Linked DNA regions of Oreochromis niloticus. The protein of the gene in region 1 purifies or fractionates together with the protein of each later gene. This does not show direct contact. Links are inferred from orthologs where the notes say so. Each region holds a gene or a part of one and is shown on either strand. Other genes may lie near its edges. The genes, in order: clcn5b and tmem9.

Evidence for each region.
Region 2: the proteins of clcn5b (region 1) and tmem9 purify together in Homo sapiens (co-immunoprecipitation; 3 studies listed by BioGRID and IntAct, with this or other methods). This does not show direct contact. The link is inferred for Oreochromis niloticus from reciprocal best matches to the Homo sapiens genes CLCN5 and TMEM9.

What each region holds. Positions count from the first base shown.
Region 1 is NC_031967.2:31,603,330-31,618,773, forward strand, and holds the start of clcn5b (H(+)/Cl(-) exchange transporter 5), read right to left. Parts: upstream 5,651-15,444; 5' UTR 5,262-5,650; coding exon 5,207-5,261; intron 5,110-5,206; coding exon 4,960-5,109; intron 1-4,959. UniProt on the Homo sapiens protein: Proton-coupled chloride transporter. Functions as antiport system and exchanges chloride ions against protons. Important for normal acidification of the endosome lumen. May play an important role in renal tubular function.
Region 2 is NC_031984.2:20,019,632-20,035,156, reverse strand, and holds tmem9 (proton-transporting V-type ATPase complex assembly regulator TMEM9), read right to left. Parts: upstream 7,367-15,525; 5' UTR 7,206-7,366; intron 7,114-7,205; 5' UTR 7,061-7,113; coding exon 6,968-7,060; intron 5,870-6,967; coding exon 5,778-5,869; intron 5,643-5,777; coding exon 5,534-5,642; intron 5,310-5,533; coding exon 5,178-5,309; intron 5,074-5,177; coding exon 4,930-5,073; 3' UTR 3,667-4,929; downstream 1-3,666. Other genes in the region: cacna1sb (calcium channel, voltage-dependent, L type, alpha 1S subunit, b), read right to left, coding at 826-931, 2,304-2,488. UniProt on the Homo sapiens protein: Transmembrane protein that binds to and facilitates the assembly of lysosomal proton-transporting V-type ATPase (v-ATPase), resulting in enhanced lysosomal acidification and trafficking.

The DNA.
Region 1 (15,444 bases):
GGACTAAGAAGAAACATATACAGCAGGGGTGGGGAACACCAGGCCTCAAGGGCTGGCGTCCGCCAGGTTTTAGATCTCACCCTGAGTCAACACAACTGAATCAATTGATTAGTTCATTACCAGGCCTCTGGAGAACTTCAAGACATGTTAAGGAGGTAATTTAGCCATTTGAATCAGCTGGATCAAGGACACATCAAAAACCCGCTGATATATAGGACCTAAAGGACAACCTTCACTGCACAGAAGTGAATGACAGAAGGATCAGAACACTTTGATGTCAGTATTTGGACTAGCAGTGCCTCCCTAACCCAAACTTTCCTCTTCAAACACCGCAGGCTAATGAGTCCCTGGGAAACAGGTTACACAAGGACGTAAACGATAATGCCTGCAGCACTAAGGGCTTTCAGGGAAACCTGCTTGGCAACAGGTTCAAGTGCTCGCTAAAGACCAGTTACAAATGCCACAAACACTTCCTACTGCCTAGTTTCACCACTGAAAGGAACGAAAAGAAAGAAGTTTGAGCTGAATTGTAAGTTCCCATTTATCAGGGTCTGACAGTGGGACATTTTAAGTTTAGAGTTGGATCACTCACTCTTAAGGGTAACCACTGGGTTACCCTTAAGAGTGAGTGATGGTTTTATAGTTCTGCTTTAACTCCGGCAATAAACTGGTGATGTCACTGTGACATCAGTAGTAACCAGGAAGATTGATAACGCACACTGCTGACACTGCCTTCGCTTTTATTTGCCCTGGCAACAGGCACAGTTTGCCAATTTGTCTGGGATTTTATTTTAGGGTATGTCAAGTTGACAACAGAAAGATCTGAGCTATATCCGACTCTGCTGTGCAGAAGCGAGCTGGAAAAATGTTTGCTGCTTAATCTGCAGGGAGAGTCAGTGATGAGGAAAAGGAAGTGGTAAGGGTAAACACTTGAAGCTGCTTCAGCTTCTCGGACTCTCAGGATGGCAGCATGAAAACTACTGAAAGAGTGTCTGTGGTTAAGATACATTGCTCTTCTCTTTAGATGAGGAAAAGTAACATGTCAGTAAGTCTCAGGAAGAACACAAATGAGGAAGATTCAAACTTCTCCATATGACAAATTTACTGTAATACACTAGCAGGAGTTTCACAGGATTGTTAATTAATAACAGCAACTCTGTTATACCCTTGTAAGTGGCTCCAGGCTAAAAAAGAAAACTAACAAAAAGCAATGAAAAAAAACAAAAACAAAACAAAACAAAAAAAACCCACAAACAGAGTTGTCTAATAAATGACTCCATTCACTCAATTCCTCTGTTGGATCTCAGCTCTAATTGGCCAAATAGAAGCATGCTGGGAGTGGGCTGACAAGGTCTGATGATGACAAAGCAAGGGTAAAAAGAGAAATGTCCACTGCATGCTGAAAGCATGACATCATTAGTAACCAGGCAGCCTTGTTTCTGATTAAAGGAACTTTATGAACTTTGCAGCAAATGCAAACACCATCTTTAGTCCATTTAATTTGCGCATTTCCACTGAGGTCGTACACTCTCTTTTAAAGTTTACTTCCATGCACTGATGTTTGTCTGCTTTTGCGTAGTTGTTTCATTTTATATCCCATACAATCATACTAGCATTCTGTTGCTGCTATTTTGCTATTTATTATGTTACTGCCATTTTTTTCTCCTGTGCAATTTCCACAGCACTTCCACCCATATTTACTATATTTTACTACCATGCCCTTGTACACACCCCCACAATGCTTCCTGTAACCCAAACATTTTACTTTCATGTATATAGTGTACATAGTGTTCTTATATTGCTATTCTTGCTACATAATTTCATTGTGCAGGCCACTGTACAATGACAATAAAAAGTTCTAAGTCTAATATTTTGTATGTCACTTTTTTTTCTAAGTAGCACAAAGACTAATGGGACTATTATTGTTCAACTTCATATGACCATTATTTCAGTTAGACTTTGATTCATGTGAATATTTGATGTGTTTTTCAATTATTGTATAACTGAGAATGGCCAAAGGTTTAGCTATCAACCTGGTTGGGGCGCCAATATCGTAGGTCAGCGTTCATGTTCAGGTCTTTTTATTCAAACATAAATTAAAATAAAGATTACTGAAATAAATAAATAGTGCGGTCAGAGTGTCCTGTCTCCAAATTAAATCCTCCTCTCCTCACCTGCAACCTGTCATGGCTGATGGCCGCCCCTCCCTCAGCCTGGTTCTGCTGGAGGTTTCTTCCTGTTAAAAGGGAGTTTTTCCTCCCCACTGTTGCAAAGTGCTTGCTCATAGGGGGGGTTATAAGTGGTTAGGGCTTTTTCTGTATTATTGTGTGGTCTTTACCTTACTTGCTGTTTTAATTCCATGCTATATAAATAAAATGCAATTGAAGTGAACTGAGTGAAGTACAGCTCTTTTAATCTGACCTGCTTCACCCTCCAACTCACCCTCTGAAATTGGCAGCAATTCTTACAAATAAAAAAAATTTTAAAAAAACAAAATAAAAAAAAAAAATCTTAAAAAAAAAACAAAACAAAAAAACCCAGACATGATTTCTGCATATTTTCTTAAAGTAAAACCAACTTATCAAATCTTCCACTATATTCTCAAACACTGTAAAGCTCTTATCTCAGTTAATTGGCTGTTTTTACAGCCAGAGGGTAAGCCATATATATATATAAACAGTAAATCTGTACATTACCAGGTAAGCGTGAACTCACTGTTCATTCAGGTGACTCACAAAGCATGTGACACACACACACACACACACACACACACACACACACACACACACACACAGCCATTACTGATACCTTATCACTGTTTGAGAGCACAAACACACACTAATCACAGAGCATGCAAACACTCCCAGACAGCAGCTCAGCCACACTAGCATCTGCAGTGCAGCTTTTTTGGAGGGTAAAAAATAAAATCAGTTGCTGCTCACCCCTACCTCAAACCTGTCAAGTTGCAAAAGGGAGTGTCATGTAATCCTACTACATTCAAACAGCCAGGCTGCTACTGAGTGACAGCCCAATTACTCACGTACTAGAGAGAGAGCGCTGGATAGACACAGGAAATGTAATGATATCATTGTGCAACCAAAAAGCAAATTACTGTTTATAATATATAAGCAAATGACTGTTTCAGGATTTTTTCTGCTTTGAAATGGGCTTGAAATTACAAGTAATTACACACCTATGCACAAACTGTCCACATACAGTGAAACCAAAGAGTCAGTCTTACATTATCTGACAGAAGTCTATATTTTGCTGTTAGTTCGGACCATGACGGTTATGATTAATACAACTCGTTGAAATAGTGTGATTACAAAACTTGTGACCTTCTTCTAATTCTGACTAAGACTTCTTTTTCAGCAAATATTCCTATTCCGGTTATTAGCTGTATAAGAAAAGACAGGCAAAGGACCGCATATTAATCCATTCAATGTAAACTATGTGTGATATGTGATAAACACTTGCTAGCTTCAGCTCAATTACTTTTATCTGCAGCAGGGGACAAAAACACAACAGTTTTTAACCTTGTCCATCAGACTTACATTTTGGTTGTTTTCTGACTTTTAAACTAGCCGTGTAGTCTAATATTAATTAGTAAAACAAGTCACGGGAGCATGTGTAGCACAAACAAAAAGAAAATTAAAAATTGACTTATTTTAAAGCTAGATGAAATCTCTCTGAGCTATCAGTACTTCAGAATTTCCTCTGAAGGCCAAATCTGCAACTTCTTACGCAAGCTGGTGAACTTCAGCCATGCTCTGGGCTTGCTCCAAAGACCAGCCAACCATGATGTGACGGCTGATGCACAGGGGATCAGCCACACATGGAAAGTTCAATCCCGACCTGACCATCATTCTTTGTATCAACCACAAGGTGCAGCCTGCAATCACTGTGCTGTTACTGACTCTCAAAGCCCAAAAGCCTGCTCTCAATCCCAGAGTCACCTTAGCTGTAAAACAGCACAACCCATTTATACTGCTGTGTTTAACTGAATGCCCTATACTTCATAATTATTGTATACACGTTACATTGACAGTAGAGGTGGAAATCACCGAGCTACCCCACAATACACAATACTTCACTCACGATGCAATATTACTGCAGCGTTTAACATCTTGCGACACGCTGAGTATCACAGTAATACTTCATGTGACTTTTTTGCCTTGTTGTTACTTCAGTTATGTCTTTGCTGCACAATGACATTGTTGACTAACCCTGTCATTAAAGTAAGACGGAGTCAGTCTGCTATCAGTCTGTGATTAAATGGGTTCAAGTTGGCAATTGCATGCATTCTGTTTCTGATAATGCAACAATCAACTGTGATAAATCCTCCAAAATTGCATATCTGTTGCAGTCTACACAGACAGAAATGCACTCAGCAACCTTTCCTGTTCTTTAGGAATATAACCAGAACAAAACGAGGTGAGTGGAGCCCCCTCGAGTTACACTCATTGACAGAGACTCTGTTGCATTTGGACTTTACACAGCAATTCTTTGCAAACCTCCAACAATCTCTCTGCAAGTGACTGCAGTCAGTCCAAGTCAGACTGCAACTGCTCGCAGAAAATGTTGCCTCCTATCAGGCAAAATGAGCCCTCTTGTCCTATAATATTCACAGAGTACTTGAATGTATTTAATAAAATATCGATATAACATCACCATGCACAATATCGCAATACAATACTATATCGATCTCTGTATCGATCTATTTGTCAGAAGAAAGAAGCTGTTCAGGAAACAGGCTGAAAGTGATTCCTGAATTTAAACAAACTCTTATTTATTTATTTTGAGGGGGACTTTTAATACCATAATTGGCTGACTTATGCGTTGTGCTGCCTCACAACTCCCTGATAAGAGTTTAGTTTTATCTGCATAAGATGGTTGGTGACATTTAAAAAGCTCAGCACTGAAACCAGGCGTTTTAAAGACGATCAGCAGCAGGCCCACCTGAGCTGAGCGGAGGGACGTCGTCCGTGCTCGAGAAGTCCAGTGTGGCTCCTGCGATGTCCACCATCTCGTCATCATCGTCATCGCTCGGATGATGAAGGCCGTCAAAGCTCCCGGAGCAGTACCCGGGGTTTTCCATCCCTTCGGAGCCTTTTAAAAGGGAAAAGGGAGGGGAAAGAAGTTAGCGAGGAAGGGTTAACTTCTACGAGCCCCACAGTGGATATATCTGCTTCACGGCTTTAGTTACCTCTCTCTCTGTCGGCTGCATGTTTCCCACGTAAACTCGTCCAAAAGTTAGACATAGTAGCGCAAAGGTAAGACGCGAAAAAGCCCCCCTGCTAACTGTTTTACTGTTAAGAAACGGGCACCGACAACAGCTGCTCTTCTCACCCGCTTCATACCAAGCAGCGGCTGCAGAGTCAATGACAGCACATCTGTGGTTACGGTGAAGTTTTCGCAACCATTTCCGCTTTTTTTTCCTCTTTTTTTGCGCTGCTCTTTCTGCTACATGCCTGCGGCTTCGGGGCTAAAAGCCACCAGAGCAGCGGAAAACAGCGCGCTCCCAGGAACAACGGATTAGCCTCTTTCCTCGCGACGAGGACTGAGCTGTCAAACAACCCGACACGGTGTAACCGTACAGCTAACTTTCACCAGTGCTGCCGCTATTAACTGAAATGTGCTTTGCCCCTTGCTTCATCAATAATGAAAGAAAAAGACGAGTAAAGCCCTACTTTACCTGGGAGGGGAGAAAGCAGCCGTGCGGCTCACAGAAGAAGAAGTCTTGTGACTTGGATTATTTGCCCCGCCGTCCTCTTCTTCTGCGGGAGCTGCTTATGTATCCTGTGTAAACTTAACTGAGAAAACCCTGCGTCATCCACCGACACCCCAACACCGAGGTTTTGTGACCCAATGTGTACACCTAAGGTCTCAGCAAAGTGTTACCCTTCTTGGACACCCATACTGGTGAAATGTAGCGACAACAACTATTTCCATTTGTCATTTTGCTACTTAAAGCGCAAACGGTAAGCTATCGTCAAGTAAGCGAAAATTGGCTACGTCTACCTTTAAGTCTTTTAATAAAAAAAAAAAAAAAACCTGTCGTATAAATCAATTGACGCTTTTAAAATGCGACACATTTTTAAGATAATCCTAAAATATTAAATGCATACATTTTACGTTTTTTATTGTTTTTATATGGCGTTAAAGCTTTTATTTTTACGCGACGTCAAAGCCCATGGTTTTTATTTTGAAACCCAAAGGAGGCAGTTTCCGGTGTAAGGGCTCAGCCGCTTTAACACCAGCGCCGTCGGCGCGAGGAAAAGCAGTCGAGTGAAGAACTGTCGTTTGTCCAATTGGGTTAGTGGACCAGTTCGACAACTCAGTCATCAAAATAATGATAACAATAATAACTGTAATATTCAAAACGTGAGTTTTATATTAAAAATCACCCGACAGTCAGCAAAATTATTCCCTGCACTGAGCATCACATGTTGAAACATAAACAGTTTGCGGTGTAATATATAAGGATATTTATATAATAAATCTATGTTTATTACTTTGACTACTTTCCAATGTATTATATTATTTAATAATGTACTTTAACTTGTTCATTACTGTTCTTACTGCTTTTAAGCAACTGTGATCACATAATTTCCTCTGGGATTTAAAAAAATATTCTTATTCTGGTAAATTGTCTTGGGGAAAAACTTCTAATAGACACAATTCCAGAGGTCTTTTTTGTGTGTTTCTCTTTTTTATGTGAGATAATAGCGAAAAGAAATGTACAAATGCACATGGAGAAATGTGAATGTTCTTTTTAAAAAGTGCAAGGAAGAAAAGAGTGTCAAGTGTTCAAGGAGCCACATTGTTTTATCAACTCATTAGATCACTGAGTCAATACACAATCTACTGTAGTGAGGAGGTGTAACAGTAACTGATACACAAAAGCTACCATTTCATCCAAATGAGCTTTTTATCTGAATGGGCCTAAGTCAAAGGCAGTTGGGAAGAAATAGCTTCTTTTTAACTGGAAGAAATCATTGGGAGACACGGCTGAGGAAGAGGCAGCTAACTGCCGTAACTGGTTGGAGGGTGAGCGCAAAGAGAAGAGAAAAAAAGGTGGTTTCCACACTTTTGTGCCCAAAGCACACTCCTCATAAAATATATCAACAACGTCAGCTCTGCCACTTCCACCTCGACTTCCTATTTTTTGTTAGTGCCACCATCTCCTCTGCAGGTCTCATTACGTTTATAAAACCAATTTTTTTCCTCTTACTGCAGAAAAAAAAGAAGAGAAATGAAATGAAAATATGAAGTTACTTTTGTGTTTGACACTTATTTAAAATATGGCTTCAGCAAGCATATAATTTATTATCAACCTATGAGACACGTTCACGCAGTATTGCATGCGCTATTGCTGTCTCTGCAGACTCTGCAGTCTATTTACACCTACATGCCAGTGGACACTTTTTTAATAATGAGGATGTACACATCCTGGACAGGGAGAAACACTGGTTTGAGCAGGGACCCAAGGAGGCCATTTACGTGAAAAGGGAAAGACCATCTCTGAATCGAGGAGGGGGCCTAAGGGTACATCTTTCACCATCTTACATCTTTCACATAGAATTTGCATATTAATGATCAGAAAACTAACCTCACAGCTCATTGTTCCTTCAGTGGGCTGGTTTCAGTCATTATGCAAATGTACTGTTTGTAAGGTTGGGGAAACCTGCAGTCAGCTGAGACTGAAGAAGTCACTTGGATCAGTAATGAAATGTTTCTCATACTGAAAATGCTACGTCCAGATGAACAGAATCAACTTTGGGATTTGTACAGTAAAGTTCCTCTTTAACTCACCTGGTACTAAATAAACAACAGTTAATAGTTAAATAAATAAATAAATAAAACTCAGACTCAAAACCTCTGGCATCCCGGTCCAGCTGAAGCCATAAGACATACAGCTTTTGCTCTTGTTTCCCCCGACAGGTATATTTCTTTTCTCTCCACACAGGAAAGTGATGAGTTTGACCTCCTCATAAATGCCATCATCCTCTCTTTCAGTCAGAACCTTTGATGTGTGCTGATAAAGTGCATTAATTCATTCCCGCCCCCCAGTTTTATTATATTTGACCCCAGAATATTAAAGTCAACATTCCTATGTAAATTTTTAAAATAGACAGAGAGCCCCACCTTGTGGTCTGCTGAAGAAACTACTGGAGCCTTTGTAATAGTCTTTTTCACCACATTACACTAGACCACATCTAAAGTTACTGCAGGACCACCAGGTGGGAAGGCACATACACTATACTGCAAGACTTGTATTAGTGATGTCGACACTACTGACCCGTTCCGATCTGATACCAAGTAATTTCAAGCTGTTATTGACGATACTGAGTCCATTCCGGTACTTTGTACAAAGCCTTAAAGTGTTGGGAAAATCAAAATCAGAAGTAGTGTATTTCAAATTAGACCTTCATAATGATAAGACATCAGACTACTGTTCAGACTGTTCTTATTATTCAATTAGGATGAATTACCCTACATGAAATTAAAAAAAAACAAAACAACCTCAGACAATAAATAATAATCCAGCCGAGAACCATTTTAAAAATAGATAATAACATCTGCCCTTATGTATGAAATACTTTTGAGTCATAGTTTTATTTTTATTTTTTTACAATATTTTATTAGTTTTTTTCATTTTCACAAATAATGCATAATTGCATAACATAATAAAGTGTACAGTTCACAGCAATAAAAAAACAAAAAAAATAAACAAAGCAAAAAATAAACAACCCCAAAACAAAGCAAAAACAAACAAACAGACTGAGAACTAAGCACAAAACAAAACACCAGCTCAGATCCATCTAATAAATAAATGAATAAATAAAAAATACAATACAGTACAATACCTGTGGTCCCAGTAGTATGACGCAGTTTGAACACTCAAGAGAATCCTTGTAGCATAATATTAGAGATGTCAGGTTCCACATAATTCAAGTATGGTTCGCATACCTTGAGGAATTGGTCTGTTTTAAAGTGCAGTACACATGTAAGATATTCCAATGGCACTAGATCCAACACTACTCTTTGCCAGCCTTTAATAGTTGGCGCTGTTTCATTAATCCATTGGAGTAAAATATTCTTCCTCGCCTCTTAGTTGAGAATACAACCTGCTATTATTCTTGGATATTAACCGCCGGCTGGGGAGGCCCAGTATGAGAGACACAGGGTTCATCTCCAGTTCACAACCCAAAATCTTCTCCATTTCAGATAACACATTAGACCAATACTGTTGCAATTTCAAACATGACCAGAAGCTGTGAGTTAGGGTACCAATTTCTGTTTTGCATTTGAGGCACATGGGTGAAAGGGTAGGATTATATTGATGTCTGCGAAATATGGATATATGCAGTCTGTGTATGATTTTTAACTGTAGTGCTTTGGTATGATTACAGACTGAGATTGATTTGGCATAACTCCAGACATCTTTCCACTCTTCATCATCAGTTATTATACCTAACTCCTTTTCCCATGTGCCCTTAAAGCCTCTGTGACATCACTGAAGGTACGTAATATAAAGCCTTATAAAATATCTTCACAGGTACCTCTTTATCTGTTAAAAATAATAATTTCTCAACAGGAGAGACTTCATGGCTCTCACTGAAGTTAGTACTGTGCAAGATATAACGGAAAAAGTCATGTTTGGGGAGAGAATATTTCTCAACCATTATATATTTTACATATGTTTATTTTTTAAACCCTACAGTTGCTGTTTTACTGCATGTATGCTGTATATTTTAATAATACCTAACCTTTACCATCAACTTTAAATGCTCTAGTCTACAACCTCACCTGACGAAATCTAGGCCAACAGAACTGATGAGAGGTGACCTCAGGGGACATACATATTACTCCAAGCTAAACTCATGGTGAGATGTAATGCATTTATACAGCTATATTTCACATATTATTATGAAATGTGGAAGAAAAGTAGTTCCTGCCTATTGTGTAGCTGACCTCAATAATCCAATTTTCTCCATTTGGCTACCACTGAACTTTCCAAAGAGCAGAGATGAATGTTGTAGTTCATGTAGATTCAAGCTGCTCTTCATATTTTTGGCCACCAGATGCCACCAAAGATAAGTTGATAAATTTTAAATAATGAAACCTTTTTCAGTATGAGATTCAATGGCCAAAAACAGCTTTCTGGCCACCACTAATAAATCCATAAGACATTTACTGGGATCACTAGGAACACACACTAGTGCTAAGAATACTGAGGCAAGGATGATAAGGAGAAGTGGAAAAAACACTGACACGGGACAAGGATAGACGATGACTATATACAGACAGAAAAGCAATGAGGGGAAGTGGAGACTGCTGGGAACAACGATGCACAGCTGAGCCGAAGCAAAAGTAAAGGCAAAACACAGGGAACGACTAGCTTACAAAATAAAGCAGGAAGTGCAAAAACTAAATGGGGAAAACACAGACACAAGAATAAAATAAATACAGGAGAATTTAATTTAATTCAATCCAATTCTATTCTATTCTATTCTATTCTATTCTATTCTATTCTATTCTTACTACAATAATACAGAGAAACCTCAACTCAAGCAAAGCACAATGAATGAATAACTCCCAAAATGAACCAGGAAGTACAAAAAGTAAATGGGTAAAACCCACAGACACATGAATACACTTAATACAACAAGACTTGACATAAGAGGAAGGACGACTGAGGGAGGAATTACACTCTAAAGCAAACAAATATACAAAATTAAACAGAAACCAGAACAAAATATTCAAATAAAGAAAAAAAATGAACAATCCAACTGGGTAAAACTGGGTAATTTTGACCCAATACCCTGACGTATAAACACACACACACACACACACACACACACACACACACACACACACACACAGAGTAGTACAAATGACCTCGTCATCACATTCAAAAGGGCAAACAGACTGGTCACTTGTTATAACAAAATCTAATAAATGAGATGTTATATACATCATGTGTAAGGCTACAGAGAAAAAAAAAAGCTTTTCTGACCTTCCAGCACTGCTTACTCTGCAAAACCAGCCTTTCCAGATATCAGTGAGACATGTGATTGACAGTAAACTTCATCGGTTGCATTCACTGATGTTTTTCTTTGATAACAAACAAAATTCCACAGCAAGATTATGATCTATAGACGATAGATGACCCTCTTGGGTCCCATGCCCTCTGGTCTTGGATGTCAGTCAGGTTAGGGATTTTCATGTCTACCTGTTGTCTTACCTCCACTAACTATGCTTACCTCCCTCCAGTCTACACTGTTAAGCTATTTAGTCAGTAGAGTTACTCAGGCTTCCGTGTTCCTTTCCAGCTATTTACCTTGCCTGTTAATCAGAGATAGAGCCCCCTTGCTGTGCTGACGCTCCAAGTTTGAGAACCAGCCTGCTGCTTTAAAACTTACTATGAGTAGAAATTCTGTTAGCAGAGTCAGCTGGTCAGTACAACAGTGGGAAAAAAACTGCAGGAAAAGGAAAAGGTAGCAGACCAAACTATGAGTAAAGACCTTGGGTTGCAAAAGAATCAAACCTGAGAGTTGTGAGGAAAAGAAGCCTGTCTAGGAGCTTACTGCAATCTGAACTAGTGAACCAAAGGCTTTATAGAGATTTAGTGTGGACTTTGTGACTAAGTACAGTTTGCAGTATCAATACCTTTATTTGTTGCGCCTACAGTTTACATTAAAAACCGGTCAACTGTTCATGTGTGCCTGCTTTTGAGTCCTTGCTGTAACCAAACATCTGCCAATTGCAAGAAAAATCAGCATTAATTTAACAGGATAGCACAATTATTTGTAACCTAACAAGTGTCATATTTCTCCTAAAGTCCCATAATCAAGTTGACAAAAGCCTACTAGCAAAGTAATAGCATTAGTCTATTTTACAAGCTGTATAGAGTATAGAGTTTAAAAATTTAATATTGTGACAACCCGAGATGCTAAAATAAAGAGTATTTAACAAAACCATCCCTACAGTATGTCAACAAATTTCTTACATGCTTACAAATGGTTTATAATTACAAATTATTTTATGCTTCCTATGTTGCTCTTAGCAATTAATGGGAAGATGAAATAATTTGTGAGGTCCGTATTACTGTTAAAGTTTTTTTTTTTTAAAGGTTTAACCAGAAAAGTGTCTGTGTGGGTTCTCAGTCATCCATGTCATTGTAATCTAAGGAGCCGTGAAGGAAAGTGACTGCACTTCTTTAAGTTTCTTGATGATGTTTCACCTCTTAGTTAGTTAGTATGTGATCAATTCCTAAAGAAAGAAGAAATTACTGCCTATTTTCACATATTTAATTACTCATAAATTGAAGTTATCATCTGCACTGATCAGATATAATAAACATAACATACCGTCATACCGTGTACATTGTATGCATATACACGGTGTATATATACCTATAATAGATCCCTATTCTGTAATATATCTATATTATTGCTAAAGCACTTTCTGGATGGATGCAAACTGCATTTCGTTGCCTTGTACTTGTGACATGTGCAATGACAATAAAGTTGAATTCTATTCTATTCTAAAGATCTTCACTGGTTGTGCTGAAGTCAGTAAGACTTTACAATAACCATATTTATTACAGTATTAATTGTTTATTAAATGGCAAATAGTTTGTTTTATTAACTGCCTAATATATTGTGGGTTTTATAAGTTTGGTTTACAGTGCGAAATTAAATCTGCACATGCTTCTAAAAGTGCATTAAATTAGAGGTCCTGCCCTCTATCAGAGGATACTTTGCATGTGACTCTGAAGCAGGAACAGAGATTAATAACAGATATGATTCAATGCAGAGGTCTATTAACACATAGTGAGTGTAGTGGCAATTCCTTTTGTTTGACAAACCAAACATCCCACAATTAAAACTCCACAAGCCACTGCTGCACTGAGATAATATTTCGTACACAGGCAAAAGCAGTCCACTGTCCAAGCTTGAAAGTTGCGTTTTTATGGTTTATTCATCCAGTTTGACAAGCAATAACAAGATCCATTTTTTTGTTACTTCCTGCTGCTTCTCCTGCTCTGGTAAAAACAAAACAAAACATAGGCCCACCCCAGTGCATGCTGGTCCTTTACCAGTCTCTTTATTTATAGAAACAAAATGACCCTACAGCTCTTACCGACTGATTTAACAAGGTAAACACCAAACAAACAAAACATTGAAACAAATATTAACCTACAAATAAACTTGTAAATAAACCCGAAAATATAAGTAAACTAACAACAAACTTTAACAAATTTCAAAATAATACAAATAAAGAACAAATAGCTCCAACACTCCGGCCCCTAATTGTACATACAATCAAAATTACTTTAAAGTCCCAAACGGAGGAGCTATTCCCTCAAGCAGGTCCTTAATCTTCGTTGATGATTTTCTTCACGATGAGGCTTCCAGTAGCAAAATAAGTTTTGTCACTGGCCTTTCCAAAACACTGGTCTTTGTTTGTAGTCTCACAGAATGCACCAAGCCTTTTGCATCCTGGTTTACACTTAAGACTTTCGCCATCATCCATGATCCTCTTGGAGCTGTAGCGTCTGCAATCAAAACAACATCTCCAGGTATAAGACATCTTTTAGTCCTCGTCCATTTTTGTCTTTCTTGCATCAGAGGTAGGTACTCAGAAAGCCATCTCTTCCAGAACAACTCTGTGTCACGGTCTGTGTGGCAGACCGTGGGGATGTGAGGAATGAGGACCCAAAATGCAGGACTTGATGCTGAAGGCAGTGCGTTTATTTACAGGGGTGAAAATCCAAACAACAATAAATCCCCCGCGCGATCCCGACTCCCGTTCCGTGTCTTCTCCCTTATCCCGTGCTCCGTGCTCTGTCTCCGTTCCCTGTGTACTGTCCGTGTGCTGCCTCCTGGATGCCGCAATGCCTCCTGGGGAAACACGCATACAAAAGGTAGCCGTGAGTACAAAACCTAACGGCAGACCTGCACTAACCTTGCACATAAACTTAAGACTGACGGGAAGTCACTCAACGATCCAGCGTCGAGGAGCTCTCAGCCACACTGTTTTGAAGCTCCTCTGACGAGGCTTGATCGGCGCCAGGTGTGTGTGGATTCCTGGGTGTGACCGGTCAGCTGGCAGGGCCACACCCACCAGGCCTAGAAGTGCCTGCCACGACGGCACCCTCACACACATGCACACACCCATAAACACCTGACAGTACACAAACACGGGGCACAGGACAGCAGACACAACCATAATAACAATAACGACAATAACCATAATAATAATAATAATAATAATAATAATAATAATAATAATAATAATAATAATAATAATAATAATAACTACAGTAGTAGTCCACCCTGCTCACGAACCCCGAATCCCTGGAGCTGGGTCCGTGACACTCTGCCATGTACTGTACCTGTTTCCACCTTTTCCTGACATGAAGATCAGTTGGATCAAACAGTCCTGGTGGTAAAACTGGTTTGTTTTTCAGCAACAACAAGTGATTGGGTGTCAGTGCTTCAAGATCATTTGAGTCATCTGAAACTCTAGTAATGGGTCTGTCGTTCACTATAGCTTCAGTCTCACAGAAGACTGTTTGGAGTCCTTCATCATCCAAAACTTGTTCTTTGAGAACTGAGGCTAAAATACTCTTTATTGAACGAATGAGGCGCTCCCACACACCGCCTTGGTGAGAGGCTGCTGGGATGTCAAAGTTCCATTTCATTCCATCCTGAACAAAAGCCTTTTAAATTTTAGCATGGTTCAGCTCAGTCAAACTTTCTTTCAACTCTCGATTCGCCCCAACAAAATTTGTAGCATTATCAGACCTGATGGTCGAAACTGGGCCTCGTCTACAGATGAACCTCCGCACAGCATTTATACAGGAGTCTGTATCAAGTGTACATGCAATCTCCAGATGTACTGCACGACTGGTCAAACAAGTAAAAAGAACTCCATACCTTTTAAGGAGACTTCGTCCTCTTTTAACACTTATAGGTCCAAAATAGTCCACTCCAACATTTGTGAATGGAGCTGTGTCTGGCAGGACTCTCTCTCCAGGCAGATCCGCCATCTTTTGTTCAACAAACTTTCCTCTGTTGCGTCTACACGTGATACAACGAGAGATGATTTTCCTGGCAGCAGAATTTGCATTTACTATCCAGTATTTTTGCCTCAGTTTTGACAGCATGTGCGCTCTTCCTGCATGTCCCAACCTTTGATGGATATGGCGTAAAATCAGTGTTGACACATGCATATCCTTTGTCAAAATTGCAGGATGCTTTACTTCCATACACATGGCTGCTTTATTCAATCGGCCACCCACTCTGAGGATTCCCACATCCAACACTGGATCAAGTTTGCAGAGACAACTTCCCTTGGAGACTCCTTTGAGGCCATTGCTGATTAAACTATTTCAGTTTTAAATTTCTGTTGTTGTGCATATTGAATAAT
Region 2 (15,525 bases), on another chromosome or scaffold:
ATGGCACCGTGAGAACTAAGGAGGATTTAGGAAGAGGGCCAATGAAGAGATCAGCTCAGATTTGGGTTCCTAATAAAAGTAAAATGGCTATAAATCACAAAGACTGACATGAACTTTAACCCAAAGATATATGTGGAGTATTATTGACTTAATGTAGGAAAGTAACCGATGGCTGACATTTGTGCTAAATGCCAAACCTCTAAGAGAAAGTGATCTATTTATCATAACATTGGTGTCAATAGGACACATCCAATAAGCACTGGCCAAATATATGCACGGTGCATGATCAGATATATGTTTTGCTCACATGTGCATCTTGTTTATCTTTATAGTCTGTGACCTGTAATACACTACCAACAGTTTCACAGCTTTAAAACACACACCTATGAAGCTGAAACATAATATCTTTCTGGACATACATCAGCATCGTCCACCTGCCACCAGCTTTTTTACACTACTTGAGAACGAGACACTCGATGACTCGTTCCTCTGCAGACACAGATGGGGCTCCAAATAAAGAACCGAGTTGTTTCTGGACACATTCAAATGGCGTTTGGCATCCCACAGCTTGTCACTGATTCAAAGCTGTAGTAAATTAATATTACTACACTCACTTGCTGATCAGAGCTGCACAGTCATCTACTAGTGATGGTAAAACTGAGCCTTCATGAGCCCCAAAACACGAGATTAATTTAGTGTTTCAATTCTTTTATGTATCATGAATATTATGAAAATGAAATATCGATATAGTCATCATTCACCACAGTGGCCTCTCATACAGTCATGTGACATGCAACAAAAAAAAAAGGCTCAATGTTTATTTACCAAATTTAAGTTGGTGTTGTTGGTGTCGTCTTCAGGCATGGGCAGGAACACAGCCAAAGCTACACAGTTTGCAAAAATGGTCAATAAGATGATGATCTCAAAGGTTCTGGAAGGGGATGCTCAGGATCGTGACAACGACAACAACAAACAGCAACAAAAATCAGAGTTTGCCCCCCCAAAATATCCACAAAGGTCTATTGTCTTATGTTTAGTATGTTACGATGTTAATGGGTGAGAGTGGGAGGATGACTTAATCTTTCACAAGAATAAAACGGTCAGTTTATTTATCTGACTAAGTTATTTTACGTTTGTGTTTCAGTGTAACAAATCCAGCTCTGCAGCAGCTCTGTAGGCACTGACTAGTGCCTTTAAATGCTGCCTGAAACATCATCCCTGAAGCAGCCCCCCTGGGTAGCCAGCAAAGTGTTCCACTTTAATGTAATCTTGCCTGCTGTGCTGCTTCATTCTCACCCATAGGGGGCTCTCTGTGAGAATTCCCCTGCCAGGTCAGCATGATGTCTCAGTGTGATGCCATGGGACAGCTGCAGAGCCCAAGAATATGACCAAACCATTTGAACACAGACTGTTAACCAGGAAAGAAATAAAGAAAAAAGTGGCTCTTTAAATTTTGAGATCCGTGTACGAGGACAGTTTTTTTTTTGGGTCTTCAGACTTTTTAGTAATTTTCCATAATTTGGCTCTCTATACAGCACCTAAGCCCTGTGTTACCAAACCACATACCAATGTGATTAAACTGTGGCGGTGGAATGACTTATGACGTGGTCCAACATACCAGAACGAAATGTCAAATAGAACAGATCTTTACACATCATCACGTTTTAACATGTGGTCACTCTTAAACTCAAAGTCTGTGTATCTGCATTTAAACGCTGTGAACAAGAGGTTCCTATCACTGGATTGGTATGATCAACTCATTCCAGTCTGGATCCAGGAATGACCATGAGGCTAAAAGCAGAAAATTGCCTACAGGGGCCACAAGAGCTATCAAAAGCCCGCGTTGTGCTCTTTCATCTTCTCCTACTTGGACGCTGAAGTCACTATTTGGACATTTAAAAAAAATAAGGAGCGAGTTGAATAAGACTACCTTGTTAATTGTTTTTTTGCCTGATGCTTTTGTCAGGTGATCTCAGGTTAACAGCAGGTGAAACTCCACAGGCTGCAAACTTGACTTTGATACAGATCAGAAACATTACAAAAGTCTTAACACTTCAGGGATCATCTCATCACACATTTGGAAGAGACCTGGCTTGAGCATGCTGACCACAGGTGAACAAGGCTATTAATTCACTGCCCTGCTGTCAGTATTTTTAAACCGGGGCTCCATGCTGCGCTGACTGTATAATGCCATGTATAATGCCTTGATATCCTTGAATTTCAAAGAAATATTTAAACTGAAATTTCTTCTAAAATACACACAGTTGTCTGAGGTGTGTGTGACTGAAAGATCTAAAGGATACTTCCACTCCACTATGTTGATGCAGGCTTTGCGGAAGGGATTTTTGAGGTTGAACAGGAAGAGAGATCTCGCGGGTCGAGGGTTTCCTCCAGTGGCCTGTAGTTTCTTAAGCTTCTCCCTCTGCTTCCTCTTCAGCTCCTCTTCATTCATGATGATCGGCTTGGCCGCTTCTGTGTTCGACGCCATCTTGATGCCTTCACCTTAGACAAGCTCCAAATTCCTGTGAAAGTTAATGTTTATTGTAAAATCCCAAACTCAGGTCCAGTGTGTCTCCCCTTTGTGAAAGCAGATCCTCCTCAGGCTCCCCTGGCACCCTCTTTCTTCTCCTTCTCCTCCTCCTCGCTCCTTTGTCGGTCTCACCCGGGCAGAGCCACAGGCCTCTCTGCCTGGCTGAGGGCCTCTGACAAAATAAGCCCACCACGTCCAGGAAAAATAGCAGGAGCCCAGAGTGACTGGAGGAGCAGTTGGCCTTGGTATAGTTTAAATTTAGATTATGAACCACCAGCAGGCCATGCTTGGGGATGATTATAAGGGTAGAGTGAGGGGGGGGGACTGTGTCTCTTTGTGTGATTTTGTTTGTGTATGTGTCTGTATATGTGTGGTTTACTTTACTGTCAACCTCTTATTTAGGATTCATAAGAAGTACAGAGACATGTAATCATTAAAAAAAAAAAAACACTATAATGCAGCTCTATGCATTTCTAAATAATAACTGAAGGCTGGTATTTAAAGGAATAATGAACAATAGGTATCCGTAAGTACACCCTAACCGCTGTAAGCGCCTCAGATTAAACAATAAAATCTTCACGTTTCCATACAGCCCATTATGGTGCCTTACAGACCGTTCATTGATTGTGTGGTGCGTGTAAATGCTAAATCAGGGTTTGCTGTTTGTGATATAGCTAAAAAGAAAACTGCAAAACTTCATCAGAATAATATTCAACACTGAATGATGGACTCAATACTCTGTAACATTCACTGTGACCAAATGATTTAGTGTTAATGTTGTTCATAACCAAACAATTTAAATGAAAGTCAACCAACCGACTATCACCAGCCCTTAAAACAGTCGGTAGAAGCGGCGCTGTTTTAAAACGTGTAATTCCCAAACCAGGACGTTTGTAGTTACACATTTTAAAACACCTTCTCAAACTGGCAACATGATCTTAAACATGCCACAGGTGACTGTTTTCCCAGCAGCTGAACACCACTCAACATGTAAGACTTCAATCTTCAAGCACCACAGACCAGTGCAAGAAGAACGCGCACTTACTGTGTACTTTGTCGCCCTCTAGCGCCATTAACAGGAACAGCAAATCTGAAAGGAGAAAAGTAATTGAAGGAGAAAAAAAAATTCCAAAACCTTTTTTTTTGAGGAATTTCCTTTTATTATTTCACGTCAAGCTAAACATATGGTTCTATAGCACACTTAGGCCAGAGATGCATATAAAACATTGACAGCAGGGATATTAAACTATAATTACAAATCAACTAATCAAAAAACAAAACAAAAAAACAAATCAATTAGAAACCAATAAACTTCAGTAGTTCATACGGTGTATGAGGTACAGTAATGCAAGCCAGTGTGCCTGTTTTTGCTGTACTAATAATTTCCCAACTGGGAGCTTCAGTAATAGGATGCGAGCAGGAATTCACTGACAGATAATGATGCACACAAGGCCCTTTCAAAGCCACGAAGCATCTGGATTCTGCCACACTAAACCACATTATCATCAGCTTTAGTGGTTTAGGGCATTCTCCTGTGATTTTTCTGAGAGTCCTTTTAAAGCTCTGCTAAATGCCTCCTTTTCTTTTTCTCTCTTTGCATGAAAAGAGTGTTTCGTCACATTGTGCTGCAGAAAAAAACAAAAACACACAGATGTGCTGCTGGGTTCAGTCAGAAAATTTAAAAATAAAATGAGTACAAATGCAAGCACTAGTTAACAATGGGTGAAATTTCTTAGTTGACCTTCCCGTCTGTTATTTTTAGAAAGCTGTAGAGTTTGGAGAAACACGATCTCCCACACAAAGAGAGAGACAGGAAAGGCACAGAGTGGGGCGCTGCTCAAATGTGAATATACAAAGTCCAAAATCAACAATCATACATTAAATTCATCCAGATTTAAATACCAATAAATAATTAGTGCCAAAACAATAGCAACAGCATTGAGACTGTATAGACAGAGTAGTCCTAATTAACTTAGCTTATTCTATCTGAGATCACATCATAAATTATGCTTGAAGGAAAAAAATTATAAATATTAACACACAATAAGCTGAAATGCTTTTGACAGCCAGTGCAAAATGGGAAAAGTTATTATTTTATTAAGACATTCAAAGCTGCACTGATGTCCAATTTGCTGAAAAGATTTGACATTAGGTCATCAGGAGTGCTTCAAGCATCAGTTTTCTTTAAACTGCAGCTTTGCCCATCTCAAGTTTTTACATCTAGTAAATAAACCAAGTTTAAACATTGTCGTGTTAGATGTGTGATGTTTAAATATTAATTCGGCAGATGCGGTGCACAGCAATGACAAAGAGGTTTTGTGATAGTGCCACTGGTGTAATATCAGACGGCCCAGGAAGGTTACGTACTCTAAACTTGGTGTTGAGGTCAGCCTTAAGGTTTAACTTAACAACTTGTGGCGGTCAAAGACTGTTTTGCGCTGCTCCTGGACCTGCTTTTTCCAGCGCTGCTGTGCTCCCTCAACCCGCTCCAGCACCGTGTTTCCTCTGGCCTGGCTGCTGCTCTCTGGCTGCGGACGCATCTCCTGAACACAAACCAGAGATGGTTTGAAATCAAGAACTTCAAACTCCACAGAAATCAAATAAATACATTGGAGTGTGCTTGGATGCTGTTTTTTTGAATGGTTACCTCAGAGTCTTCCTCATTGTGCAGCGGCTGGGTGTATGGGTCATGCTTGCGGATAAGAGGATCAACCAGTAGCAGGAAGAGCATGTAGAGCAGCAGGGCGCCCACAACCGACAGGTAAATGATGATGGTCACCTGTCATATTTAGCAAGAGTAACTCACTGAATCCAACATACAACCTTTGCAAACTATAAATTCTTTTCTTTTAAAAAACCCCAAAACAAAACAATAAACTAGAAAGGCTTTGCAATATTTTCAACGACTCATCTTATATGACAAACAATCACAATGACCCGCTTTGCTTGGGAATAAAAGCTGAGGAAGATATGTCGTCATATCCGAAGGAAAGTCAGTTGTACCTTAATTGTGTTGCTGCTTCGTTCTTCATACTTGCACTCACAAAGCAGACAGTAGGCTTCCACATCATGGCCAGGAACAGGCATGGGCTCCACTACATGCAGGCAGTTGCTGTGAAAAACATTAAAACGTTTGTCATTTCTACTGAGCTAAGAGAAAGAAAACCCCTAAAAACAGCAGCGCAGTGAAAGAGTAACGCCTTTTCTTTAAAAATCCATAAAAGTCTAAATAAAATATTTTTCTTACCAATCTTTCTGGGAGAAATTTCTGTTATAGATGTGACCGGTAATGTTTCTGTAGGGCGGGCAGATGCATTTGCAGCGGACATCCTCAAAGCTCTGCAAGAATTAAGGAACTTTTGTGAAAGTGGCCCCAAATTCAGCCCATCTTTCCCCTACAGCACTACTTGAGACGTCTCTCTATTATTAACACAAGCAGTTAAACAAACAAACACTCTGACATATACTCCAGTTATTCTAAGTCAAATGGCACAAACACACAGATGAGCACTAAATTATGAGATCCTCTATGGAAGTTTTATCTTTTGGAGTATTTAACAGTGCAAGAAGTTTTAAAACACAGCTTTTCTTTTTGGATGCTTACATAATTTTAATTTGGGCACAGAAACAAAATTATTTCACATTAGCCAAAAACTACCAGAGCCAAAACTATTAGCCTACGATACTATACATTTGCAATTTCCAACCAGTCTCACTCACACCTCCTGAGTGATCCCACGACAATTTCTCAAACGCCTCCAAATTCGATGGTCTTTTGGAGGCAGTTCTTCACAGGAGTGATGTATGTTTTGGGTCATTATCGTGTTGGAAAATAAAGCAAAACCCAGACCCAGTTTTGCTGCTGACTGCTTGACGTTTTCTTTCAAACACTTCACATATCCATCTTTTATGATACCTTCTACCTTAATGAGATTCCCAGTGAGTTGTACACCTTTTCCCTTTTGTCTCATCTGACTAAAGGACTCACTTTCTATGCACACTCATTCTCCAGGTTGACCTTGGCATACTTCAGTCTGCTTTGAAGGAGTCTCTTCTGCAGAACTGGAGTTTGTCTTAGTCTGCAACCTCGCAGTGTATTCCTACTTCTAGTTCTTTAAGACTACAATCCCCAATTTGGCTAAGAAATCCACGAGTGTCCTGACAGTAGTTCAGGGGTATTTACATAATCATTATTTAGATAAACTAATGTAAGACTAACATAAACAGGTATTCTTTAAGTAGATGTAATTGCATAATTGTGCTGGCAATATCGCCCTTGAACTATTATTTTACATTTCGTTATTTAACTATACAATCTTTATATTTCACTGAATAAAACTGAGCACAGTTTACTGAACATCTTCCCATAAACAAAGCAATACTTGATGAGATTTAATCCACAAACACAGATCCTCTGTGTACCAGCAGGTCTTTTACCTTAGCTCGAGCAAAAACGACAACATCCAGCAGAAACACGGTCACCACTGCGGCTGCAGCAAACATCCAGGATCTTCCCCAACCACACGACATTTCCCCAAAGGCAAAACACCTGGCACGACGACTGAAGGATCACCAGCAAGGCTCTGTCAAAATATAGCAGTTAGCTAGCACTGCAAGGCAGGAAATCCACGACACGAAATGTCGTAAAAACAAAGCTAGCAACGCGGTAACTTACGCTGTGAGAGTGAGGAAAACGTCTGTTTCTGCTTTGCATTCAGGTTGAAAGTGTGCTCTCACTTTGTTTAGAGCAAAGATCGACAAATGAATTTTGTCCTTCCTTATTCCGGACTGTCGTCACACATGAAGAAAACAATCCGACACCAAACATGCAGAGACAGCGCCACCTGCTGGACAAAATAAGAAGTAAAAATAATAATCAAGAATTCATATTTATCAAGCAGGTTACATTATAATCACTTACTGTCCCTCTTTATGTGGGACTGCACAACATTTTTATCCACCCCCGCCCACATACAAACACACATATCTTTAGACAGTGTCTCACATTTTGACTGGTTCTGCAGGACATGCGCTTTTCTAAAGTCTGGCTTTTACCAGTTGCATATGACGGGAAGACTTTTTTATTATAGTCAGAAAAAGGAAAAAGGTCAGCCTGTCTGATGTCATACACATCAAAGAAAGTTACCAAAGAAGTCACAAGCTTTGCAGATTTTATTAAATATGGTGGAAGCTACCAGAAAGAAAAAGGAGATGCAGCATATTTTGGAGAAACAGAGGGGTTTTGTGTGGGTTTTTTTTGTTTGTTCTTTTTTGTTTGTTTGTTTTGTTTTGTTTTAGTTTGGTTAGCTCTGCCCCCACACAGCAAGAAGGTCCTGGGTTTGAATCCAGTCTGGAGCCTTTTTGAGTGGCCTTTGCGTGCTGATCTGTCCGGGTACTTAAGCTTCCACCCACAGTCCGAAGACATGCATGGAGTTAGGTTCACTGGTAATTCTAACCTGCCTGCAGGTATTAATGGTTTTCTGTCTCTATGTGCTGCACACTGGCAACTAAGGTGTACAAGGTGTACTCTGCCACTTGCCCTATGACAGATGGGAAAGGCTCCAGCTCCCCTCCGAGTGGAGGAAAGTATTGTGTTAAGTGACACAGTATATGTGTGCCATGAATGAAAATAGCTAAAATTGTCAGATATGGCTAAAAATGCATGCCAAACTATGCACACCGAAACCCCCAAAACTTTACCAGATAGAAAAGCAGCTTAAGTAAAAGTGAAATGAAAGAGAATATGGGAGTATATAAAGACTATTGCATTAGACCATAACAACAAACTTAGTCCTCCCTCTATATCATATTTACCTAGCAAGAGAGATGAAATAACAATCCAGTAACTTGCACAATTGACTGTATTTTTGAGGTTTTGATCCCAGCATTGTTCTTACATCCCATAGACAACATTTTCCCCACATTCAGTTTGTTGGGATCCGGTCAGTGTACTTGCAGTCTTTCATTAATTTAATCAAGCCATTACTTTTCTGTGAATTATTGCACATTTTAGTCCTCAGTGCTAATTGCTTTCCATATTTGACATTTACAGTAGTGAGTGGAATTGTGAAACTACAACGCCTGGACCAAAGGTTTGCTTTCAACAGTTTAAACAGCATTTTTTTTTAAATTTTTTTATCAGCATTATAAGCAAACAAGCACTGTGGACTCCAAAGCCTCTTATCCATCTTTACTGTTGTCTTATCAGACATTAGTGATGTGATTAAAGTGTGTCATAGCTGAAGCTGTACATATACAGAGCTCAGATTTACAGAACTGCAGATTATAGAATAAGCAATTCAACTATGAAATGTTTACATTTTGACCACCTACAACATTAAAATGATGCTTAAATATTAATGTGTCTAAAAATTAGATATATCAATAATGCATAATTCCAAATAGCAATCATATGTATAATATACATGAAGCAGCCTTTATTTGTAACATTAATGTTTTTTTAATGACCAGAATAATCAAGGATATTTTATATTGTTTTGGTCAACACTGCTCTTGTGTCAAATCCAGTTTCCCTTTTGGAATTTGAAATATGAGTCTTAGCTTCTTGACCCAATCAATACCCCTATTTCCTGGTAATCCTGCTTTCACATCTCTCTGTATAGTAAGCTACTCATACCTTTAATAAGCCACAGAAATCAATGACTCACAAATTCTGCCTGAACCTCTTGAGCTTTCGGTCATATAGATCAATCGAGACCGTGGTTGTTTCTCTAATAAGCTACGATATCAGCGTGAACAACAGAGCACCGTCTGTGTGTAAACACTGTCGTTCATGTGACCTGTGATTCAACCACTTAAATCAGCTGCAATGCTGCCAAGAACTTGTTTATTCTATATATAGTATGGAGATTTGGAGTGCTGGGATTTCAGCTTCACAAAGGATGTGAACTCAGTCAGTTTATGTCTGCCTACAAGGTTGTTGTTGTTGAGCTATTTGTACGCCTAAAAAATGTGAGTGATGGGAGACTTAATCATGTGAAACACATACACAGATCACGGAAGAAATCCCGGAAATCCATATTTTTACTCATTTTTCATGCTGTACAAATTACTTATTTTAAAATCTATGACCGGGCACCATTTCTTCCTTTAGAAAACAATACATTAAAAAAGATTTCTACTCTTTTACTGAAATATGTCAACCATGATGCTGTTTTTTTTGGGTGGGAGTTAACAGGTGATACTTCACGGGCATTTATCTTTAAAAAAAATTTTTTTTTTTGCTGTTTTATTTTTATTCACAGTTAGCAGGTTTAGTTTTATGAAAAGACAAGAACTGGTCAGATTATGTGGAGAAAACCTTTCACCCAGACAATATTATGCTGGTGATGTCTTTTACGTTGTCAATGACCTTTTGCTGTTGATATACTTGGCAAGTTAGTTCTGAATGTTTTAAGTGTGTTTTGGTTTTTAATTGATTCCTCAATTGATTACTTCATGAACTCATGCATGTACTCCTTCATTCGTGTAATGATCTCCGTCATAATTCGACTCATAAACGCTTTAGATGGTGATTTGTGCGAGCTCTCTATAATATATTTCATTCTCTCACTTCTGTCATTGTAAGCCACTTAGTTCTCATCTTCTCTGATGCATGGCTGCCCTTTAATCCCCAGGCCAATTACAGCATAAATGACACTGACCAGAGCCTAGTGCCAGGTCTCATTATCAGTTCAGACTTCTTAAGAAAAGAAAGGGGATTGAGTTCTTCTTTGGGTAGACTTGGTAAAAAAATATTCATTTAGGAAAGAAAAATGAATCTAGTTGTTTATGTAAAGTGGTTTATTACCACTCAACTAAAAAAAAAAAGCGCTGTAATTGATGCGGACAGATACAAATATTTTGACAAAGTCTTTAGCCAGTGAACTGCGAACGCAGCCTGACTATAAAACAGCAAAGGGAAATGATCCATAATGGAAACACTGCGGAGAAATTCAACTCATAAACAACATCAGAGGGTGTCAAGTTCTCTTACTTGTCAAGGTACCTGAAAGTATCGACTGAATCACATTACTCAAAACATTCATTTTCCAGGGACCTGAAAGCATCAGGCACTTTGCCCACTAGGAGATGCTATAAGGCCCAAGGCAAAGCAAACTCAATCTCGACCAGCAGACGCTAGTCAAAGCAGACTTTGTAAAGATCTGGAGAGATGTAGATATGATCTAGGGCATATAAAATAAAACAAGAGAAAATATATTGTGAAATTCAAAGATAGAGCCACATAAAACCAATTAATTATTAGCTAAACAGCTACAGCAGCACTGTAGATAAATACCTACCTTATATGACTCACCTATAGGATGCTACAGGTTTTTGTCCTTAATCTAGCATTTTCAATACACCCCTCAACCTTTCAGTATGTTTCTTTTTGACCTTTATCACATCATCTGCAGTGTCTTTTTGCCCTCCTCTGTATCATGCTTTTGGAGAGAACACTGTTTGAATAACAAGACTATCTCTGAAGCGATATCTCTCCTCTCCTCTCCGCTGAGGTGGTGCATTGTGGGCAGTAGGACTATTCTAATGGACACACGTGGTAATTACAGTAGTGGGAGGTAGCAGACAGTGGTGATCCAGGGACAGCGCAAAACTATAAATCACAACTCCTGGTTCCGCCCTCCTGAGCGTAGCCGATCACAGTCAACCAAAAAGCAATTCTGCCAACATGTGTTTGCACATTTGTCTTCATCAGCCACTGGCTTGTTTTGGGCCCCTGGAATTGAATTTTTCTTTCCCATGGTAATCAAACAACGACTACTTCTTAGGTGTTTCACTCAAAGCCCCCTGCATTAGGTCTAAATATTAACCACATGTGGAATAAACTTGTCATTTTTTGTGTTTAGTTTGATCCTGTTGAAGTTACAGGAAAAAATATCAAAGAATTAATAAATTACAAGATGTTTTTTTAAAATAAAAAAAGCTCTGTGTGATCTTCAAACAGAGATAGAAGATAAAGATCACCTGTTATCAGTTTCAGTGATGGAGGTAGTGTGAGATGCTTGCTCGAGAAATGTTGTAACCAAAAGAGGTGGCAATAGCAAAGGTGTTAGAGCAGTAAGCAGTGATGGTGACTCAGAGTACAGTGTGTGTCCTGCTCTGCTTTATCTGTACGGACAGCTGCCTGTCAGCCAGCTGAGCCCATGCAGGGGGAAAGGTGTCTGCTGAGGAGCTGGTGTCAGCAAGGTGAGAGCCGAGCCCGGCTACGCTGAGCTGAGCTGAAATGGATGCAGAGGAGGGAGTGTCTCCTGCCTCTGAGGGACACCGATTTTCAGCAAGGAAACAGAGACTGCTGGAGCAGGAAACTCAGCCAGACAGAACATGAAAGCCAAGAGCGGCCATGACACATGATGGACACAAACGGAGGAAGGGAAGCCGTCCCCGCACTCACCCGCCCACCACTCGCTATTCCTCTCCTTTAGCAGTGTTGCACCCCTGCAGGAGGAGAAAAGAGAAACATGGCGATGATGCTTGAATTGCAGTGGCTCTCGGGTGAACTCTGCCCCCGTGTAATGTGTTGTCTTTGATGTTGCACAAGATGTTAGAGAGACGCAGGGAAACTTCAAAGAGAGCTTCATAGGCCAATTGCAGAATTGGTCAAAAAAGATAAATAAAACAGCAAGCTGCCAGAAATCCACACGCATCTTTCAAGGGAGACCAGGGGTCAGGCAAGAAGACAGCTGAAAACAATAGCAAGAAATGAAAGGTGACATGGATTGAAAGGTAGATAAATAGCTGCAGGGGAGGAAGGAAGTTTGTTGTTGGTATATAAGGATGCAATTTAGGTTGGAAAAAACAGCCTGCTGGTTTAACAAATACAGGCAGGCCGGTCAATAAACTGTCAGCTATTAATGTCTACTTTAAGTGACAAGGCCCCCCAGACTGATTTATAGAGCCAGCGATGCATAGAATCCTTACAGATAAAAAATGTTAGGCACCTGGCCGATCAAGTCAGCGAGCAAAACACAACACACACATGTCAGTCAGCAAAAAGCACCGATATAGATATCGATGTGGATCTTCTTTCAGAGTCAGCGCTCTCAAAACAGAAGGAGGAAGGTAAACAGCCAAAAGTCACCAAGAGCCTTTTTTTCCCCGACAAAGCGATTCCATGATCAGAAAATTTTGTCAGCTCTAATCCTTTGGAAGGAGACTCCACTCCTTCCAAAAGGTAGGGACAGAGGTTTCTGTGTGATAAGTTTTCCCTAATGAGGTGATACAGACATTGCCACACCCTTACTCCATCTCCTCATGTCAGTCTGTGATCTACCTGCCCCAGCTGCAGGCCACATCTGGAGGCACGATGGATTTCATCCACAGGGGCCTCCTTCGCCAAATGTCACTGTGAGTCATCTTCCTTTGTTTCGGCATTTGTTGCAATCTGACCTGGCAGCTCAGTGGTGCGCCACGACGGACTGCCACTGACACGTTCACATACACAAACAAAACTATTCTCCAGACATAAACGATATAAAGTAAAAATGTCTTTACAGGCGTGTCATGGTTCGTATTTGAGGAAGAGACAGACGACTGCAAAGTCCCAGTGTGTCAAAACAATGATTTTATTACAACACATACATGTGGGAAGCCGAGCACGATCACCCAAAAAGCATCGGTCTTCTCACAACAATAAATGGGGTGTGATATATATAACATATGATGACAAGTAATATGCGTCACAGCAGATAAAAAACATACATGTTCCAGTCATTCCAACCTTGAACATCTTCTAAAAAAAGAACAGTTCCTTCCTCTGTTCCTCCACTACATGTTTCCTGTTATTTTACCTATTACACTTATTTGGGGAACTGAACTGTCACGTATGCAGTTTCTTTGCTTGAAACTTCGCAATTTCAAGCAAAACAAGTCTAGACACTGTGTATGTGTGTTCAGACAGCCCATGTGTCTTAACCTCGGTGCATGACCTTACTCTGAGTCATCTGTTACCAGGCAGAACTCCAATGCAGTCGGTTGCTGAACACACAGGCCTCTATTCAGTTTCTAAGTTGTGCGTGATGTATTGTAAGCATGTATGCAATTCTTTCATAACTCAAGGTCACTTTACTCAATAGATCAGTCGGACCTCGCGCCGCTGAAGCTTCCGACCATCAATTAATTGACCGAGCTTCAACTCTTTAATTAGCACAAAAATGCAATGTGTATAACATGAATACAGTTGCACCTGCAATGAAAGATTATCATGTGATTAAGCTACCACCTGAAATACAGACTTGAAATACAGACTTTAACCTCAACAGCTTCAAAAAATGTGTCGATGAAATGATAACTAATGCAACATGAATAGTAACAGCAAAATAATTTTCTAATCTCTACAGGCGGTATGGTTGAGTAACACTTAACTATATTTGTTTGGTGCTTTCTGCCCGGAACAAATCAGACGTAAACCCTGTGATATAAGATCAAACTTGTCATCTCACAGCTTCAGAAATCAATAGAGCCCCACACTCTACCACTAATCTTCAACACACATGGAGCAAGCTCTGGATGACTGGTTCAGAGACGGCGGCAGGAGCAGAGCAAGGGGAGTAAAGGAATAAGGTAAGATAGAGGAAGGTGACAGTAAGGAAAAATGAGACGTGAGCTGAGTAATTCACATTTAAAGCTATTTATGTTAAGTGTCTGCACATAGTTCTCTTTAATTTGCCCCAAATTTTATTAGTATAGACTGATTTTTTAGATTTCTGCTTTCACACCAGTACAGTGGATGCATATTGGAGTTTGAGGTTTATTATGACATTAACAACAACATGTATTTACATAAATGCTTCTCTCAGTGACCCACACAACTCACTGTTGTAGAAGAAACATTTTATGATATCGTGAAGCCTTTGACAGCAAGGTCTGCAGCTATAATCTAAAGTGACGTAAATACATGAACGGTGTTTTAGTGTAACTTTTCAGTGCCTTACTACATACAAAAATAAAACCCATGTAGGATGGCGTAGGATCAGTGTAGGAAATGACAGAAATCAATTAAATATTTCAAAAATAGGAAAGTAATGTAATGTGTTTCTTCATAATGTACAAATCCAATGTTCGATCTGCGTGATCTAGGTTTGGAGCTCGATCTAGCTATTAAAAGCCAAACGGACACCTGGAGTCTCAACCTAAAATGTGTGCAATTAAGTTACAAACGCAGATCTGAAAATGTGGAGAAGCTCTGAAAAATATAAATAAAAACAGAATGCAAGGATTCACAAATCTCACAAACGCATAGAAAACATATCAAATGTTTCAACTGAGAAAACGTACCATTTTAAGAATGATACGACAAAGAAGACCAAGAACTGTCGAGCAGCTAGAATCCTAATCAGGCAGAAATGGGGCAACGTTACCCTGTCAAAATCCAGCAGCTGCTCTCATCAGTTCCCAGATGTTTATGGGCTGTTGTTAAAGGAAGAGGCGATGCTACACAGTGGCAAACATGACCCTGTCCCAACTTTTTTGAGATACGTTACTGCCGTCAAATTCAAAATGAGCTAATATTTTTCATGAAATAGTAAAATGAACTTGAAATGCTTTCTACAGTCTACTGTGAATAAAATATGGATTTATGAGATTTTTGTTGTTGTCAGTCTTGTAGCATCAGACCGTGTGATGTGTCTTCTTTTAAAAAAAAATTCTGTTTATCAAGCACTAAAGAATTTATACAATTTCTTTTCACATGTGCACTAGTGAAACCTGAAAAATAGATTCTCATGTGCAGAATTTTGATTGAGTGAGACTTAATTTGCAGTCAGTGCAGTAAAGGGCTCTACATCCAAAATTTCCTTAATGGGATTCCTTAATATTAAGCATAAAGTGATTGTTTTTAGTGGTTTTCTTTAACTCCCTTAGGTGAAACTGAGTTAGCCCACCCTATTTAACAGCCTCTGTCATATCTCATTCCCTTTCTGGTCTTTATAGACTTCATCGCAGGCCTTCTTTTAATGGAGGAGTAGAGAGGCTGTTTA